Linked DNA regions of Macaca fascicularis. The protein of the gene in region 1 binds, or shares a complex with, the protein of each later gene. Links are inferred from orthologs where the notes say so. Each region holds a gene or a part of one and is shown on either strand. Other genes may lie near its edges. The genes, in order: GLI1 and SUFU.

The links.
Region 2: the proteins of GLI1 (region 1) and SUFU are in contact, whole or in part, in a crystal structure (PDB 4KMD), measured with the Homo sapiens proteins. The link is inferred for Macaca fascicularis from reciprocal best matches to the Homo sapiens genes GLI1 and SUFU. Residues at the interface, in NP_005260.1 of Homo sapiens: Gly119, Ser120, Tyr121, Gly122, His123, Leu124, Ser125, Ile126, Gly127; in NP_057253.2 of Homo sapiens: Leu144, Tyr147, Asn153, Thr154, Phe155, Gly158, Asp159, His160, Val161, Ser162, Trp163, His164, Gln212, Asn265, Leu266, Ser267, Gly268, Val269, Ser270, Ala271, Glu376, Leu380, Lys398.

Annotation. Positions count from the first base shown.
Region 1 is NC_088385.1:64,273,092-64,276,899, reverse strand, and holds part of GLI1 (zinc finger protein GLI1), read right to left. Parts: intron 3,805-3,808; exon of another isoform or gene 3,718-3,804; intron 2,889-3,717; 5' UTR 2,862-2,888; coding exon 2,762-2,861; intron 2,557-2,761; coding exon 2,464-2,556; intron 1,880-2,463; coding exon 1,684-1,879; intron 1,453-1,683; coding exon 1,308-1,452; intron 963-1,307; coding exon 873-962; intron 782-872; coding exon 644-781; intron 329-643; coding exon 179-328; intron 1-178. UniProt on the Homo sapiens protein: Acts as a transcriptional activator. Binds to the DNA consensus sequence 5'-GACCACCCA-3'. Regulates the transcription of specific genes during normal development.
Region 2 is NC_088383.1:111,604,045-111,607,852, forward strand, and holds part of SUFU (suppressor of fused homolog), read left to right. Parts: intron 1-275; exon of another isoform or gene 276-382; intron 383-1,340; coding exon 1,341-1,483; intron 1,484-2,381; coding exon 2,382-2,467; intron 2,468-2,733; coding exon 2,734-2,806; intron 2,807-3,808. UniProt on the Homo sapiens protein: Negative regulator in the hedgehog/smoothened signaling pathway. Down-regulates GLI1-mediated transactivation of target genes. Down-regulates GLI2-mediated transactivation of target genes. Part of a corepressor complex that acts on DNA-bound GLI1.

The DNA.
Region 1 (3,808 bases):
AGAGTGTTTTAATATATATCATTATATTCTTTATGCCAACACAGTCACACAAACATTATTTTTAATATTTGTTTATGGAAGAAAGGACTTACAAAAGCAAAAATCTGCGTTGGGCCCTACCTTGAAGGAGAGCCCCGATTTAGGAAGAGACCCTGGACTTGGGACCCTGGTGCCTCACCGTGCACTTGTGTGGCTTCTCGCCAGTGTGTCTGCGCATGTGCACCACCAGCATGTACTGGGCTTTGAAGGGCCTCAGCTCCCTGGAGCAGCCCCCCCAGTGGCACACGAACTCCTTCCGCTCCCCGTGGATGTGCTCGCTGTTGATATGCTGAGGGAGAAGATACAAAGGCTCTCCGAGGCTCCGCCATGCCCCCCAAGGTCCAGAACAGACCTTCCCTCCACTCCCTGTTCCTCTTCCACGACTGCAGCTCAAGGAGGAAGAGGCAGGAACAATATCATATCTCACATCTCAGGTCTTCCAGCTCCCTAAGGCAAAGTTACAACTTCTGAGCTTCTGCCTACCCAACTGAGCATTCAACCTCAGTCTCCTCTGACCTCCTGCCCTCAGCCAGATTCTACCATGTCCCACTCAGAATCTCCTAAAGTTTTCGGTTAGCCATTCCTGTTACCCCCTGGGGCTCACGTGCACCAGCTGCTCTTGGGAGTCAAATTCCTGGCTGCAGCCATCCCAGCGGCAGTCAGTCTCATACACAGATTCAGGCTCACGCTTCTCCTCTCTCTCAAGGTCCTCTCGCCCATCCAGCATTCCCAACAGGGAATCCTAGGGCAAGAGAGGCAATCTTAGGGTCACTTGGGTGACAGCTTTAGTTTTGCTCAGGTCCTAGAGGTAAAGCTCCCGCCCATCCCCTTACCTGTATGCCTGTGGAGTTGGGGCTGGACATATCACCTTCCAAGGGCTCCTCCCGGCACTTGCCAACCAGCATGTCCAGCTCAGACTTCAGCTTCCCCAGGGGAAGAGGTGACAGTGATGAGGGTGGAACTCAGCAGAAGGAAGAGGAAACCAAGCCAGGTCTTCCTGCCCTAAGTGCCCCCACCCAAGCAGCTGGAACCTCCTGGGTTTGGAAGGGACTTCCTCCTCAGACTACACTGGTGAATGGGATGGGCAAAAGATCCCATTTGGAAGTGTCTGACTCAACTGCAAGGAGTGAACCCCAGCACCCACACCTCTTTACTTTTCTAGTACTGAAAACTTATAACCCTTGTCCTTCTTCACCTTTCCCCTACAAAATCCACCACCCACCCACCCTGAGCTAAGGGAAATCAGGTAGCAATATGGGGACTCTCACCTGGCAAGTTGGGAGGGGTCCCCGGGACTGAGGGTGTGGGATCATCCCACCCCGGGCAGAGTCATGGGGACCACAAGGCTGGACTCCAAAGGAAGGCGAGGGCCCTTTTTGGTGATTCATCTGGGCTGGGAATCCCAGAGATGGGCTGAGGAGGAGAGAAGGAAGTTACTTAAGACAATCTGGAAGTCTCAGGAGGGATTGGGCTATTTGGAGGATTTCTGGAAGACTTGGGATTTGAAGTGGTTGAGGCAGTCCCAGGGAAGTACTGAGGAGAGTTGCCCTTGATTCAAATAGGGTCAGGTGGTTTGAGGGCTTGATACTTTTAATGGACTTGGGTAGGGGCTTTAGGGGCCTCTTGGCCCGGAGCTGACTGCACCTCATGGTGCTGATGGAGAGATGGCCATAAGAGCCTCCTGGAGATGTGCATCGCGAGTTGATGAAAGCTACGAGGGAGCTGGGTGAAGTGCGGATAACCGTCTGCAGGTCCAGGCTGGCGTCCGACAGAGGTGAAATGGACAGTGCCCGCTTCTTGGTCAACTTGACTGCACTCCGGGGAGAAGAAAAGAGTGGGCCTGGGGCAGGAGACACGGGAGATGGATATGGTAAAGGGGCATGTCTCTCCACACACCTAACCTATAGGTCCTGACTTGGCAAAACCAATGAGACTTGATTCTGCTTTGCTCTACTGATCCTATCTGTGACTTTTTTTTTTTTTTTTGAGACAGAGAGAGAGAGTCACACTCTGTCACCCAGGCTGGAGGGCAGTGGTGCCATCTTGCCTCACTGCAACCTCCACATCCCGGATTCAAGTGATTCTCCTGCCTCAGCCTCCCCTGTAACTGGGATTACAGGTGCACACCACCACGCCCGGCTAATTTTTGTATTGTTAATAGAGATGGGGTTTCACCATGTTGGCCTGGCTAGTCTTGAACTCCTGACCTCAAGCGATCTTCCTGCCACAGCCTCCCCCTAAAATGTTGGGATTACAGGTGTGAGCCACCACGCCCAGCCCCATCTGGGATTTCTTGATGGTGCTCTGACACCTCACATCTCCAAACATCTCCTCCTCCAAGTGAGATCCCCTGCCCTCCCACTTTCTCTTTCAGAACAAGTCAGAGAGGGGCAGAAAGGGGAGAGGTGTTGCCTGAGTCCTCACCCTCGGTGCAGCTGTTGGTCTCTCTGGCTGGCCCATAACTGTGGGGGCCAGACATGAGGTTAGCTTGGTGGCAGAAGGGCAGGCCAGACAGTCCTAGAAAAAAGAGACAGCTGGAATGGGAATGGAGGACATGTAAGCCTCACCTTAAAACCCCAGGCAGGACCTGATCCCAGGATTCCAGGTCCATATGACATGGGGCCTCAAATCTTGTAGATAGGAAACTGGCATGGGGCGGGGATGGGCCCAAGTGGGAGATCTGCCAAATCCTCAAGGCCCAGGAATTGGTATATACACTGACCTTCTGTCCCCACACTGGGGGCCCCCTGACTGGGGAGGGGCCGGAGACAGCAGGGCTCGCCATAGCTACTGACTGGTGGTGGGGTCATCGAGTTGAACATGGCGTCTCAGAGGAGGGTGTGGGGACACTGCAGAAAGGGAAGGTAGTTATGAAGGTGGAGGCAAATAGAGACGGTCAGACAGCAGTCTCAGGCACTGAATCCTGGGCACAGCATCCCTGGTGTCCCCAGCCCCTCTAAAACATCTGCCATGGAAATCGAGTTGAAAAGAGCATCACTGGGCCGGGCACGGTGGCTCACGCCTGTAATCCCAACATTTTGAGAGACTGAAGTGGGCGAATCACCTGAGGTCAGTTCAAGACCAGCCTGACCAACATAGTGAAACCCCCGTCTCTACAAAAATACAAAAGTTAGCCAGACATGATGGTGGGTGCCTGTAATCCCATCTACTCGGAAGGCTGAGGCAGGAGAATTGCTTGAACCGGGAGACAGAAGTTGCAGTGAGCTGAGATGGCACCACTGCACTCCAGCCTGGGTGACAGAGTGAGACTCCGTCTCAAAAAAAAAAAAAAAAAAAAAAAAAAAAGCGTCACTCAGCCAGGCAAGGCAAGGGGTAAGGGGAAATGTCCCAGAGAGGCAGAGGGAGTCTTATAGTCTGTGTAGTCTGGGGATCTTCTTGGGAACTGGTGGGAGCTTTGCCTGTGTGGTCTGTGTGGAGAGGGCATGTTTTGGATTGTGCCTATATTAACTTCAAGTTATTTTAGTAACATGGACCCTCTAATTCTTCTTGTTCTAACCCTGGGCCGGCTTTGAGGGGTGGGATGGAAGAATACGTGTGATGAATCTGACTTCAAGCACTGGGCCGCTCTGCTTGAGCCTGTTTCCCCTTCTCATACCCCTCTTGGGGGACAGCCCGTGTACAATCTCTGCAGTGTCCAGCAGAGGGAGCCCTAGCCACAGTCCCGACAGAGAGGCAGGTGGGGCCAGGAGGCAGCACAAGCGATCTGCCCTCTTCTTTTAGGCAGAAAACTGTGTGGAGGAGGAGGTAA
Region 2 (3,808 bases), on another chromosome or scaffold:
AATGCCAGCAATTTGGGAGGCCGAGGCGGGCGGATCATGAGGTCAGATCGAGACCGTCCTGGCTAACACGGTGAAACCCCATCTTTACTAAAAATACAAAAAATTAGCCTGGTGTGGTGGTGCTTGCCAGTAATCCCAGCTACTTGGGAGGCTGAGGCAGGAGAATCGCTTGAACTCGGGAGGCGGAGGTTGCAGTGAGCTGAGATCATGCCACTGTACTCCAGCCTGGCAACAGAGCGAGATGCCGTCTCAAAAAAAAAAAGAAAAGTGATCTCGTGCTCACTTCAGCAGCACATATACTAAAATTGGAACGATACAGAGGGGATTAGCATGACCCCTGCGCAAGGATGACATGCAAATTTGTGAAGTGTTCTGTATTAAAAAAAAAAAAGAAGTGTTCTCTAAGATATATAATTAAGTGAAATCTGCAGAATAGTGTGCTTCCATTTGTGTACGAACAAAACATGCAAGGGAGCCTGTGGATGCATAGGCTGGTCATACATGGCACCTTGGCACCCATGATGAGAGTCAGAGCTAGTGAGAGACTTAGTACCCTGTGGGGTTGTTTTCCCTTGTGGTTATGTGGCCTTAAACAAAACTCTTTCTAAAGTAATGTGCCTGCTTGAAGTGCAATGGTGAGCCTGTGTGTGAGGAGGCTGTGCCCTTGGCAGCAACAGCTACCCTTCGCAGAATCTGAACATCTCAGAGACATAGCCTGAGGATCCTCATGAGTTGTCTCTGCCACAGTGCGGGAGGCACTATCTAGACCTCCATTTACTTGAAGCCTAGTGTTCCTCAGGAATTCCTGCATCTACCTGTGGAAACTGGTGATAGATCTCAAAGGCCCTCCAAGGTTGGATGTTTCCTTCTGAGCGCCGTTTCAGCAACACAGAAATCTCGTTCTGTTTCTCCAAGGTGAAGGGCTTTCGTTGCCCTGTTGCCTCCCTGTGGACTTCTGGCCAGGTGGCCCCACAAAAAAGCACCTTATTCTTTCTTGGCAGATCCAATCATGGCTCCTGCCTCCCACCATGAGTCGGGATATTGGGGAAATGAAGCAGATGCCAGAAGTCTTTCGGGTTTCCCAGGCCAAAGGAGCTTTCACACTAATAACCTGTCCTTTTCATTTAAGTCTGACAGAATTGGCAAGCAGGAACAATTTAGGTTTTTGGAAATATCCACAAGCTCTTTGCTTCCATCCGGAGTGAATGCTTCTCTTCCTTCACAGGGGCTACCCTAAGAGGCTGGGAAGCCTCCCAGCCTGTGCTAGTGAGATCCCAGCCCAGATTCCAGGTCTGGATCTGAGGCCTTGAACACTGAGGATCCTTGTGTCTCTCCCACAGAGAACACCTTCTGCAGCGGGGACCATGTGTCCTGGCACAGCCCTTTGGATAACAGTGAGTCAAGAATTCAGCACATGCTGCTGACAGAGGACCCACAGATGCAGCCCGTGCAGACACCCTTTGGGGTAGTTACCTTCCTCCAGGTGAGGCACAGGTTGAATGCTGGTTCAAGCCTTCCTGTAGGAAGAGTCCTGGGAGGATAGGGAGGCTTGAGGAAGGGGAGTGAAGGGAGTGGGAGGTTTCCTTTGGCCTCCTCCTGATTTCTGTTTCCTCTGATGGTTTGTCAGGTAGATTCAGATGGTCTGATTTAACCTGCTGAGATGGGAGAAGGGGGAAGGGGAAGGGGCCATTTGGGTGGGAGAGAATGGCTGTAGCTGAGAGGGAGGAGTGGGGGTGGCAGGTATTCTGTGAACAGTGAACAGGACTTTCTAGCAGGAAGCCAGCTCTGGGTCATCCTTGCTGTTTCCCAGAAGCTGTGGTAACCTGCCCAGCTTTGACCAGTGTTTGTTTTTGGTCACGATGAAGTCTATGTGAAGGTTCCACTGATTCCTTTGATATTTACACAAAAGCCTATCCCCTAATAAGGAAGGGAGGAGTTTCTCTGCAAGCTGCTAGGACCTATTGGTGGTGGTTCCAAGCCTGATAGGTCTCAAAGTCTCTTGTTTACATTCCCCATGATACCAGACTGGGTAGGAATGGCTCCCTGAACCTCCCCAACTTCCAGAGACATAGCCTGAGGACACATCTTGAGTTGCTCAGGCCTTGGTTTTCTCCTTTGCAGCCAAGAGCTAGACTTGGTGTCATCCAGACACAGCAAGGGCAAGGGTCAGGCCTCAGGGCCCACCAGTGGACCCAGCCATTTACCAGCCAGGCAGCCACTCACTCCTAAGGGAACCATCCCATCTTGGCTGTACCAGCTCCTAAGCACAGATCCTGCCTGTGGTCTCCCAACTGGAGGTGACTCAGAGAGCCTGAGTAACTGACCTTCTTGGGGTGGGGAGCTGCCATTAACACACAGTGGCTTTCTATCCTGGGCCTCAGATTGTTGGCGTCTGCACTGAAGAGCTACACTCAGCCCAGCAGTGGAACGGGCAGGGCATCCTGGAGCTGCTGCGGACAGTACCTATGTGAGTACCCATGCAAGGTGGGAGCCTGGCTCCCTGGGCCTGGGGATGGGAGTCCCTCCACCACCCTCCATGTGGGGCTCCCTCTTGCATTGTTATTTCAGGCCCTGGTTTTTCACATCAGGGCTTCCTGACAACTCACTCCCTGACAGTCCCTTACCACAAACTATTCCCCTGTGTCCTAGGCCTGGGGCAGCAAACAGGGCAGGCTGTAGGCCCAGCCCATCAGCCCCAGATCCTCAGTTACCATCCCCTTTCCTTGTCCACAGTGCTGGCGGCCCCTGGCTGATAACTGACATGCGGAGAGGAGAGACCATATTTGAGATTGATCCACACCTGCAAGTATGTCTTGAGTGAGGAAAACCTTTCTAGTAACCTGTGCCTAGGCCTCTTCCAAATAACACTGGCTTTCATCCTGGGAAAATGGAGGAGCTTTATGTGTGAGTGAGTAGAAATTTGGCATCATTTGGAACTTGTCCCCTGAATTCTGCGGAGCACATAGGGAACAGAGATTTCAGCCCAGGAAAGCTAGTCCTCAGACATACGTATTTTGGCATTTTAAAAGGATATTTTTATTGTATGTAAATTACATATTGGCTTAAAAAATTAGATCGCCAGCAATAAAAGATAAGTGTAGTGGATATTGCTTGTTTGCCCAGTATTCATTCTCTTGCCTCCCAGACTTTCTTTTAGGGAGCCACCATGGCCACCACAGCCCTGTACCAGACAGTGGTGTAGGTGATAATGACTCCATGGCCCAGCTTCAGGAGTGAGTGCTGATTGGTCTAATGGTCCCATCCCCGTTTTCGCCACATTTTCTATCTTGGACAGTCAGACGCAGAGCTCCTAGCCTGGAAAGGTTGGCACCTTAGACATACAGGCTGGCAGCTGCCCACTCCCTGTGGCCCACCTGGACAGTGTTTCAGTGTCATCTTTGCTGTTTTAGAAGCATTCCTTTGGCATGCAGGTAAATCTAGAAAGCCACAAGAACGTAACTGCCTTTTTTTTTTTTTTTTTTGGTGGGGGCGGAGTTTCACTCATGTCACCCAGCCTGGAGTGCAATGGCGCAATCTCAGCTTACTGCAACCTCTGCCTCCTGGGTTCAAGCAATTCTCCTGCCTCAGCCTCCCGAGTAGCTGAGATTACAGGCGCCCGCCACCACGCCCAGCTAATTTTTGTATTTTTAATGGAGACAGCGTTTCACCATGTTGGTCAGGCTGGTTTCGAACTCCTGGCCTCAGATGATCTGCCTGCCTCGGCCTCCCAAAGTGCTAGGATTACAGGTGTGAGCCACCACGCCCGGCCTATAACTGCCTTTCTTATGGGCTTCTCCTGAAGCAGAAG